Coturnix japonica: one gene and its partner. The protein of the gene in region 1 binds, or shares a complex with, the protein of each later gene. Links are inferred from orthologs where the notes say so. Each region holds a gene or a part of one and is shown in the gene's direction. Other genes may lie near its edges.

Evidence for each region. The genes of interacting proteins can lie anywhere in the genome.
Region 2: the proteins of ITGAV (region 1) and ITGB8 are in contact, whole or in part, in a cryo-EM structure (PDB 8TCF), measured with the Homo sapiens proteins. The link is inferred for Coturnix japonica from reciprocal best matches to the Homo sapiens genes ITGAV and ITGB8. Residues at the interface, in NP_002201.2 of Homo sapiens: Tyr48, Phe51, Trp123, Leu141, His143, Gln150, Glu151, Arg152, Pro154, Phe184, Gln186, Phe189, Pro204, Trp209, Asp249, Tyr251, Tyr254, Arg275, Arg278, Thr279, Gln301, Met302, Ala303, Tyr305, Phe308, Pro328, Leu329, Met331, Ser335, Asp336; in NP_002205.1 of Homo sapiens: Ser197, Pro198, Ile202, His203, Pro204, Arg206, Ile250, Asp251, Thr252, Pro253, Thr287, Ser288, His289, Leu290, Ala291, Leu292, Asp293, Lys295, Leu296, Gly298, Val300, Pro302, Glu321, Ser324, Leu325, Gly326, Gln327, Glu330, His349, Trp350.

What each region holds. Positions count from the first base shown.
Region 1 is NC_029522.1:5,342,690-5,347,941, reverse strand, and holds part of ITGAV (integrin alpha-V), read left to right. Parts: intron 1-739; coding exon 740-801; intron 802-2,413; coding exon 2,414-2,459; intron 2,460-3,776; coding exon 3,777-3,902; intron 3,903-5,178; coding exon 5,179-5,223; intron 5,224-5,252.
Region 2 is NC_029517.1:27,579,729-27,585,515, forward strand, and holds the start of ITGB8 (integrin beta-8), read left to right. Parts: upstream 1-1,998; 5' UTR 1,999-2,069; coding exon 2,070-2,199; intron 2,200-5,787. UniProt on the Homo sapiens protein: Integrin alpha-V:beta-8 (ITGAV:ITGB8) is a receptor for fibronectin. It recognizes the sequence R-G-D in its ligands.

The sequences.
Region 1 (5,252 bases):
AAAAACTCATTTGCACAAGACTGTGCAGAGGAAGCTTCTGATTTTCATGAACGAGTATATATTTGATGATGCAGTTTTAATTACATTCATTGTTCAATTCTGAGCCTTACCCTCCAAATGCTTTGAACCATAACTGTGTAGATGAATTGGTACACAGTTTCAAAGCTTATAAGCTCTTTTTCCTGTTTTCTTTTTTTGGTTGGTTGGTTTGTTTGTTTGTTTTGAATATGCAAGCCAGTAGGTTGAGTAATTGTATTAAGTTTTGTTGCAGTTTTTATTTTTTTTCCAAGTCACTGGTGAGCAGCTGGATTGAAATCCATTGTGGTCTAACAAAGGCATTAAATAAGAATGTATGAACGTGAGTTAGTCACACTCCTAGGTTCATATCTCCCCCCATTTCTGTTATGCAGCTAAATGGTCATAAGATTAAGCTAGGCGTGGATGAGTCTCAATACATGGGGATTTTTTCAACCAGATGTGTGCTAGTTCTTTTAAGGCAATACTTCAAATATTCTATGGTTATTTACATAGCAGATTTTTTTTTCCTTAAAAGAAGCAAACTTTCTTACATATTTTCCACGATTTCTTGAATTAAACTAGCAACCTTTCTTCCTGATAATTTAAGATTAACCAAGTTTAATTAAGTTAAATTAAGATTAATTAATTTAAGACTAAACTAAGATTTTTCTTTTTTTTTTTTTTTTTTTTTTTTTCCCCCCCTTTTCTATCTATTCCTTAGCCACTATTGATGCAGATGGGCAAGGATTCTGTCAAGGTGGATTTAGTATTGACTTTACAAAGGTATGTGATTGTTACTTAGTTCCTGTTAGTCAGCAGACACTTCCAGTTTAACTACCGCTGTGATTAAGTCTGTCTGCAAGCACAGACGTTATGAAACTTCATGTAAACCACCATTCCTGGGCAGGAAGGGGAGAGAAAGAAAACAATGAACTCCTTGTAAACTAAGAACAATCCGTTTAAACCATTCCAGTAGCATAAATATGTTTCTCCCTACACCTTCACAACAGTACACTTAGCACTTCTAAGTGTACTTTTGACATGACTTCTAGGAGTCATGTCAAAAATAAACAACCCAGTTTTCCAGTCTCATACTATAAGGCCCTGCTGCAGCAGTACTCAGGTAAATGCAGTTATACGCTTTTTTACTGGAAGGACTAGTGCACGGCTAATGCTACTTGTTGAGGAAAAGTAAATTACTGCAGAAGGGAACCGGTAGACAGTGCTCTTAGAGTGGAGTTTTGTCTCAGTGACTAGGAGAAATGGGCTTCCTTTTGTTGCTGTTTTTCTTATATTTTTTTTCTATGGTGTAATATCTCTATATTTTAATTAGCAATAATTTCTCAAGTCCACTCACAATAGAACTGTGCGTCAATCTCAGAACTATCTACAGTTATATTTTTATCATCATGGTTTTATCAGTTAAGTTGTTTAGTATTATCTCGGCCTGTTAATACCCATTTGTGATGTGGTCATCTGCTGGGTTTTTCACACCTTACAACTGTGTAGTATCCCTTTGTACTTTGCCTGAGCACACCCTTGTTATTCCACAGACTGTGGAAAGAGTAATACTGGCCCAGAAGTGTTTCTGTTATTTGGCCTGTGTCCTTCAGGACTACTGTGCAGACTCTAGCCATTTTTAAAACAAATGCTGGGCTCCAGTCCACCTCCCTAGCTGAGTTGGCAAGACTGGTATCTCCAAATCTCTGACCTAGTTTGCTCTGAGTGGTGAATATTGGAGTTTTTTGAGTAGAATGAGAATAAGTGGCTTAGTTAGGTGGTGAAGCAAATGACTCAATTGAGTGAAGTACTTAGGGAACTAATTCCCAGCACTGAGATAGCTAATATGGTTCAAGTTGCATGAAATGATTTGTGGATTGCAGTTCTACAAAGGATTATGGATTGAGGGAATTACATCATAGGTTTTCTGAATTGTGTTTTTCTAACAAAAAGTAATAGAAAGAGGAGGGGGAGAAGATGAGTCTAGTTTTGTGTACTGGCCAGAAACTGTATTATTGGTTTTCAGCAGTCTTTATACTCTATCCTACGTGTATTTCTGTTCCCTTTTGTGGATATAAAGTTCTACTACAGCAAAAAGCTAAGTTATGCTGTTAATTTTAGATGGATGATATAATGAAGCAAGTAACTGATGTTGTGGTTTACCTTAGTTTTCTACAGTACATACATTCTTTATTAGGATTAATCAATTGCTCCTTCAAAAAATCTAAGGGGGGGAGGGGGCAGTCTAGCTACTGTTTATTTACACATGGTTTATTTACAGTTTATTTTCATGTGGTTATTTGGATCCCATGAATATGGGATATGTTCATTCAGTCTTAAGAATTAATTTGTTTGAATATTATTCCCCCCTCCCTCTTTCCCCCCCCCCCACAAGGGAGACAGAGTCTTGCTTGGAGGACCTGGCAGTTTTTACTGGCAAGGTAAGATACACTGTTGAAGTTACAGAATAGGATGACCTTTTTAATTTTCTCTGTATCCACCCTCCTGCAACTGCTGTCCAAGTCTTTGTCAGTAAGACAGCTAACAGAAACTGTTTACTGACTTCGTTCAAAATAATTCCGGAGTTATCAAGGCAACAGATTGAAGCTGAAATAATAACTGATTAGATGAATTTTGTCTTTTAAATAGCTGTGTGGTAACTTTAAGTATTTTTTAATGGGATCACGTAAGTAGTGTTCCCAGGAGAAGCATTCTTTGGTTTTTTGCTGCTTTTTTTAAAATTTATAGGTTTTGGTTTTTTCCTCACACAAATATCAAGCATGCATTTTCCACGAGTAATGTACTTTACGAAGAACTATTGTTATTTTCCCTTGAAGGCAAAGATATAATGTATTTATTTGCAATAGTCTGTTTGCACTGTGGTACGAGTCATAACTGCGGTGATTTGTTTCCAGGGAACACCACCTATGTGTTTTGTTTATGTGGGCTTCAGTGAGCACTTGTTTGCAGGTTCATACGGTGTTTACCTATAGCCCTCAGTTCAGAAGATGGTTGTTAGAATCAGAACAGAATTTCCACCATCTGTTTCTTTTATTTTAATGTACATAACAGCATTTATTAAAAACTTTTTGTGTAATGCCAGGCTATGTGTAGACTTGGCATCACAGGAGGCTTTTTTCTAGATCTGTGTTATAAAGTCCAAACAAAATGAAATGATTGACATTCAGCTGCAGACAGAATATAGATTATGTTCCTATATTCACCTTATTGCTTTCTGGCCAAGCTGCTAATTCATCTGTTAAAACTATTTAATCTCTTCTGTTAATATGAAATGACAATCTCAGCTCTGAATAGATGATAGCAATAGTGTACTTGTATAAACTGTTTTTTTCCCCCCACTTTCAGAGGTGAAGGAAGAGGAGTTGTCCCTGCACTGCATGCATACCTGGGGAATGTGTATATGAAGTCAGTGCTCTCCTGGAACAAAATGTTTTGCAATATAGTGTAATTTTAAACTCCAAGAAAGCGATGTGATCAAGTCACCATCTAGTGGCTAGTGAAATGAGAACAGGAGGAAGGCAGTAAAGCACTAGCTTGTTAGTAGCATAGCAGTAAACAACTGTAGTAAGCTAAATTCTCCTATCTAGTGCTGCTGCTGTTGTCTAGTGCTGCTATCTAGTGTTGGCTGTTCTCTGATTAGTATTAAGGAAGAGCTATTGCTTCATAAGCATCGCATAAATTTGTCTTGTTTACTCAGGGTGTGCACATGTGTTTTAAGCCGTTTTCTTTGTTTTTAGGCCAACTCATTTCTGATCGAGTGACTGAGATTGTGGCTAAATATGACTCCAAAGTCTACAGTACAAAATATGATGACCAGTTAGCAACCCGACCTGCTAGTGCTGCTTTTGATGACAGCTACTTGGGTATGTAACTGGAATGGGAAGTAAAACTTGTTGTTCTTAAATAGAAAACCTCTTGTGCTATTTGTGTTTTTTCTATTCAAGTATAGACCACGGTTTTAATTTAAAATTTGGCAGTCAGAAAAAGAGCTGAAAATGCTGTAATTCATATTTGAAAGAAGCTTAGTTATCTTGCTATTATCTTGACTCAGAAACCAGCTGATGACAAAGTGAATCGGTCTATTTCCATTTGTTTTGGTGCCCTGTAACTTAGGCCTCAGATAACTTATCAGGGATGATCTTTACCTGACAAGTTACTTACATAGCTGTTTATTTTACAAAAGCAGTTGTTTCTAAATAGCATACCAAAACAAAAATAAATTGGGATAGAATCATGTTTGGAAAGAAAGCTAAGTAAAAGATAGCTTTTGACAAGTAAAAAGTTATCATTAAGCTTTATGCATGCCTAACTGGGTTTAGAAAAATAGGCAGGTTGCATATGGACGTTGTCTAGGCACTGGTTCTAAAATACCCAGTTAATGTTAGAACGCTCATCTTCCTTGTATGTAATTTCTTTCGATAACTATTTCAGGTATGTAGATTAAGTTTTCCTAGAATAGGAGTAACCATATGGAAAACTGCAGTATCTAGGGTTCGTGCTTTTTCTTGCTCATTAAGTTTTAAGCTTGTTTTAGCTTTCAACCAACTATTGCTTGTGTCTGCAGTCATTATGGGTTTAGTGATGAGCAAGCCCCCATCTTTTTTTGGTTCCTTCAAACAATCTCTGTAAATCCATTTATATTCTTAATGCATTTGCAGAGAGAAAGGGATTAAAATTGATGTTCTTGTTTTTGCATGCAGAAGTGACTATAATTTACATACTAGATAGTAAGGAGGAAAGTTATCGCAATGCAGAAAAATTCATTATGCTTCTAATAAAGATCGGCACGGATGTATGTAGATGGGTGTGTCATCGCACAATCTCCAGTTGCAAATGGCCAGCTGTTTGTGTAATCTCTGGGTTACCTGTTACAAAATATCTTAGTTGGAGAGGAGATCAGTATTGGCAAATACGCTGTTTTTCTGTGAATAACATTGCTAGTACTTTTTCTCTGAATCTGAACTGAACCAGCAACTCATAGCGTGGTAGGTGGAGAATAAAGAATGTGACATTCAAAGAGAAGCTTTGTGTTAATCAGAGTGGTATTTAAAGTCTCTTAAGGTCTTTGCATTTAAAGTAAAATGGCACAGTTACGTGGCTGAAGTCTCCCTTTTTTTTTTTTTTTTTTCTTTTAATCAGGTTATTCTGTGGCTGTCGGAGACTTCAGTGGTGATGGCATAGAGGGTAAGATTCTTCTTTCTGTTAAAAAAAAT
Region 2 (5,787 bases), on another chromosome or scaffold:
GACTCAATCTCGTACCAGTTGAATGACTTACGCTTAGAAGTTCACAAGATGTTGATGATAGAGCCACTTGCTAGTAATTTTAATTCTAGTCTGACAAATATATACAGAATATAATGGAGTATTAGGTGTATTCTTCCTCCTAACAACACTATTTAGCCTCTGCAAGCAAAAATCCCTAAGTTTTCTTTCTGCAACTTTTGCTTCTGCTTGGATTTTTAAGACACTTCCTTGAATTTCTCTCTCGTCTTGGTTCCTTTCCAGATGCATTTGAATCAACATGAATTTTCAACATGATGAGATGGGATTTAGATAGCATAGCGCTGAACAGAAGTAAATTGAGTTTAGTTTGCCTGTCACAAATGTACCTCATTTCAAAGAACAGCATCTCGTGGGACAAGTTGCTCATCACCAAATAGTATCTAAAAATTGTAATCTGGGAAATCACGGAGCTTTTAGATCAGGATCACATTTGAAGTCGTGTGACCATCCCTGTGTGTGGTTTTTATTTTCTCAGAGATGATAACCCCAGTGGGGTCGGGCAACTTGAATTAATGACATTCCAAATTAATGTCTAAAATTAAGGATTTCTCCAAAACGAGGCAGAAGAATGAAACAGCATTCAAAAATGCCAGGAGTGGGACCACAGGAGTGCTCCGTTGTCATCTCTTCCACAGAGACCTTGAAGAAACCCAGTGCACCTTCACTTTCTGACCTTTGATGTGCCTGTGATAAACTGCCTTTATCTCAGTGCTGCGAGGCTTAGCACTGGGCCTCAAAACACTGTGATGGCCTTTTATTTGTAAGAACTGTGAGACTGCGTGGCTGCACGTGAATGATTTATTAACATTGTTATTACCCTGGATGCCTCCCCCGGATATTACTTAACATTGCGCACGCTCTGACATCTCTTCAGAAGCACCATAAATGAAGTGAGGCCACAGTGATAGCTATGGCTGGCTCTGCACTCGGGGCTTGTAAATCAGCCACAGCCCCAAAGGGTGACAGAGGAGGCACTGCCACCTGCCTGCACACCGCCCATAGCCCGGGCAGCAGAGCCCAGAGAAGAACGCGATGTCACTGCTGATGGGCCGCTCGCACCTATGCTCGGCGGGGCTTTCCTGACCCGCACACGGCGAGGTACTTTCCGTGCCTCTTAACCTTTGCGTTACTCCCACTTCGCCCCGTGGGGCGGAAACTCCGAACAGAAATCGGGGAGGACGAGATGAGCGACTAAGGGGAGGCCGAGGGGCCGTTCCCGAGCCGCGGGCTGAGGGCTCCCCGCCGGCAGGAGCGCAGCCCCCCGCTCCCGGCCTGCGCCCGCCTCCCCGCGGCGGCGGCTCGACTACGGCCGACGGAGCCGCGGCCGAACAAAGCGGCGCGGCCGCAGTGACTTCAGCGCCCCGCCTCCGCCCGCCCCCACTCCGAACCTGCCCCGCTGCCGTCTCCTAGCAACGAGGGGACCCGCGCTCCCGACGCGCACCGACGGCGCCCCGAGCTGCGGCAGGGCGGCACCGGCCACCGCCGCTCCCCCGCCCCGCGGCGGGTGCTGACGGCGGCTCCGGTCGGGGCTGGGGACGGCGGCGGGCGGCGGCCACCTGGAGGGGGGAGCGCAGCGGGGGCGGGCGGGGGGCGGGCGTTTCCTTGAGGGAGGTGCGGGGCGGGCGGCCGCGCTCCCGCCGCTCGGCCCCGCGCTGCGCCCGGTGCCTCCTCCCCGCGGCCGGACGGAGCGGGCGACCGGGAGCCTGTTGCGCGCCGGGCTGGAGGCAGATGGAGGCGGCCGCTCTCCGCGTACGCCCGAGGCCCTGCAGCCGCCGCTGCTGCTGGGAGGGAGCCGCCCTCGGCGGGGTGCGGGGGCGCGGCGGGCGCTGCCCCTGAGATGCTGCGCTCCGCGCCCGCCCCGCCGCCTCCCCGCGCCCTACCTGTGCCGGGCCCGCCGCCGCCGCCGCCCCTCCCCCGGCCCCGCCGCCGCCGCCGCCGCCGCCCCCGCGGGGGCCGGGACTGAGCGCGCCGCGCCGCCGAGCCGCGGCCCCGAGGAGAGGGCGAGGGAGCGGCAGCGGGATCGGCGCCGCATGATGTGGGTGCCGCTGCTGGCGTGCCTCACCGCGGGGATCGTCTCCGTGCCCAAGTGCCAGCGCGGCCCCGGGGCTCTCCTCGGGGCGGTCCGGCTGCTAGCGGCCGTGCCCGGACTCTGCCAGCGCCGTAAGTTGCCGAACTGTTCGCCGTGCCCTGCCCGAGCGGGACGGCCGCTGCGGGGCCGAGGGGATGGCCGGGCGGCTACGGGCAGGTGGGGCGGTGGGTACCTACGGAGGGGTATGGGAGGGCCGGATCGGAGCTCGCGTCCGGCTCTGCCGGAGCTACCGGCACGGCACGGCTGCGGGGAGCCGGGAGGTGGAGGGGCTGCGGCCCCGGGGCTGGTAGGTGATACGATAAGCGCTCGGTTTGACAGCGAGGACTAAACATAGGCATGAAGTTCAGGGATACTGTTTTCCTCTACCTGCTCCAATCGGGGCGCGCTGACAGCCCGCTGGCACCAGCGGTGCTGTTGGCTGTGGAGCTCAGGTAAGAGTGGGGGACGCTTCGAGTTGCGGGCGGGCTTCTCAAAGCTCTGCCGTCAGATTAGGCCGAGGATCCTGTGCAGACGCACCTCTTGTGTCAGACAGCTCTCAGGTTAGTCCCGTGTTTCTCCAAGGATCCGGCTCCACCAGCAGGGACCAAGAGGCAGATCAAGTCCCCAGCCACCTTCCCTTTCTTTCCTTTCCCTTTGTGGACTAAGTGCATATTCCGTGCTTAAGCCTGGATTTAATTTAAAATATTAACTTGTAACCTTTAAAAATAAGATTTGTAATGGGAACAATGCATTAGTCTTAAGTTCCTCCCTACATATGTGACAAATTCATGCCTAATTCAGTGGGATTTGCCCAGTGCTTTTAAAAACAATGGAATAATTTGTTGAGTTTTACAGAATAATTTATTTTGCTCTTTTGGCTTCATAGTTAGAGCTCAAAACCAAAATAAATGTCAATAGGAAAAAATAAAATATAATATTATTAAATGTCTTATGAAACATGACAGCTTTATCCAGCATTCCAGATTCTTTTCTATGCAGTGTAATTGAGTTTGAAGACTAATTGAAACTTTATGGAGAGGAGAGCTCTGTGCCTTAGTGCACAGTCTGGTCTGCTTGCTCCTGGGTGCACAATAATGCAAATAAGGATGAGAACAGCACGGCATAGGTGAAGACTGTGGGGGGGCTTTTGCTCCACAAGATGCTTGCTTCCTTTATTGTGCTTGACAGTGAAAATGCACATGGGTGGTAAGTTGTGGGATACTTGTTTATTGTGACAACAGCTTCCATGTCCGGCAGTCTGCAAGCTCTGATAGATCTTGCTCTCTTCCCCTGTATTTGAAACTACTGCTAATCTGTGAAAGCTGAAAGTTGCACTGAATTCTTCCTTTCCTCCTTAATCACTTTATGGTCTAACCAAGAAGAGCATTTTGTTTTTCCTCGAGTGAACACATAAATGGTAGAGGTTTGGAGGCTTGTTGTTATTTTTTAATGTATTGCCTTGTCTGTTCATTTTGCTTTTGGCTGCGTTAGCTCTCTGCACCAGCACAGCACCACCTGAATTCCTTGAACTTCTGCAGGCTGCTGTTAGCAAAGCGCTGGGCAGCGGCTCCATGTACAACTATTTGGCAGCACAGCTTCGTTGAAGCAGCCACTACTCCGTGCTTCTGCCTTGACAGCACTGGGCATGGAGAAGAGCATCGCACTGTTCCCATGCCATCAGAGACTTCAGATTATTTATGTGCACATTTGGCAGAATTTCTTGCACCAAATCTCCAGTTCTAAAAGGAACTGGAATGAATATGAAACATTCATGGAACTGAAATGTATTCATTCTTGTTGAAGCTTTTCTTAGTCTTCTAATTGAAAAATGTACAGTTTAATGCTACCTGAAGTGCTTGTTCTGCAAAGTACAGTTTGAGATGTGAGTTCCTGCTTGGGTGTAAGTAAAGACGGAGCATGGCCCCCAGTTTGCTGCTAAGAGGAGTGCAGAAGAAAATCTCCCAACACTATAAATTGCAAGTCCCAAATTAAAGGTTCTGTAAGCTCAGATAAAAGGTTAGTGTTGTTCCCTTCCACAAAGAGTCCCTTGTTCACTAAGTCTTACCGAAGGGAATTTACAGTTCACTAAGCCAACTAAAACAAGTACCTGACATAAGAATGGAACTAATTCAAAACTAAATTTGTGTTATAGTGATTTACACAGATCTCGTATTTATGATGGAACACTGAAAACTGACGAAATCCTAAAGAACTAAACCAGCGAAGTGAATAGAAGCTGAATTCTACAGTGAGAGCACGTGTGTGCATTGTGTTAATCGGTTGTATAACTACTCCACTTACGTGCAGACAGAGTCTGCTCACTTGGCTCTTTCCAAAGCTAACCTCATGCAAGTCTTGCATCTGCTGTATTAACATATAGAGCGCACAGGGCTAAAATGATGTAGAATGACTGATTAGTCCAGGTTAACAGAGGACATTGATTAAAATCCCAGCATAATCTAAGAAAAAAAAAAAAAAAAAAAAAAAGCAGTTTTTACATACATTGAAACTTTAATACTAAGATGCTTGGTGCTTTCAAAACTATCTGGATTAGTTATTCCTCCATGAAACTCAAGTAAGCAGAGCTTACATGTGATGTGCACTCTGAGGTTGGATGGCATGACGATCTTTAGCCTCGATTAAAGAACTGAAGAACAGTCACATGACAGTTCTTTTGCACAGTCATGGTTGACGAATCTCATGACATTTGAAGGTTGGCATTTTAAGTCTTCTTTATAGTATCTTTTGGAAAGACCAGATGGGGTTTTGGGGGAAGCAGAAGATCTGTGATGATAGCAGAGACAACTGTTAATTGATTTATCCAAATAGGATGACATCTGTTGCCAAACATAATCCACTGCTGTTCTCTTATCTTGTTCTTTGGTAGTTTGCCAGCCTTGACACATCAGATTCTCATGTGTACTCCTTCTAGATATAAAGTTTCATTAATCATTACTGTATCACTTCTCAATGGAGTAGAAAAAGCCATTCAAACCACACATGAAAGAACTGTTTCTGAGGAGGTGGTTAGGAAATGTCTCCCTCCATCCTCTCCCCTCCCCCCCCTCACTCCCCCAATCAAACAAACAAACAATCTGAAATAAACTGTAAGTCTTGGTAGCTTTAACTATGTGTCTGTCTGTTGATTTTTGTGCCTATTTCTATTTAGGGCCCCAGTGAAAGCTTTATTGTATGGGGTATTCAGCTTTGAGACAGTTCTGATTTTCCTAAGTCTTAAAGCAATCCAAGGAGAAGAGAAAACCCATTTTAAATTTCCTGAGCCTGTGTAGGTGATCTGCTCCCTAAGGTTATAAGATCATTTTTGGCAGTAGATTACGCTCCTGATGAATAGTAAGGAAGAGGTTTACTTACCTGCATGTTGCCTAAGGAATATATTATGCCAATTATGCATAAATTTACTTTGTAGTTTGCACAGTTCTCACCACTTGTTGCAAATTCATACATGTCTCTGTTTTGTTTGTTTGTTTGTTTGTTTTGCAGTAGTTATTTTATGTTTTTTGCAAGTTGAATGAAATGGTGGTTGCACATCTACCATTTACAGTGTTTCTGTGCTACAGATGCTTGAGATGGTGTGATTGTGGGAAAAGAAAGGAGGTGGACAGTTTACTAAGTTTACTAGAGGAGCAATAAGTATACTTTTGGTGTACCAGGAAGGTAGG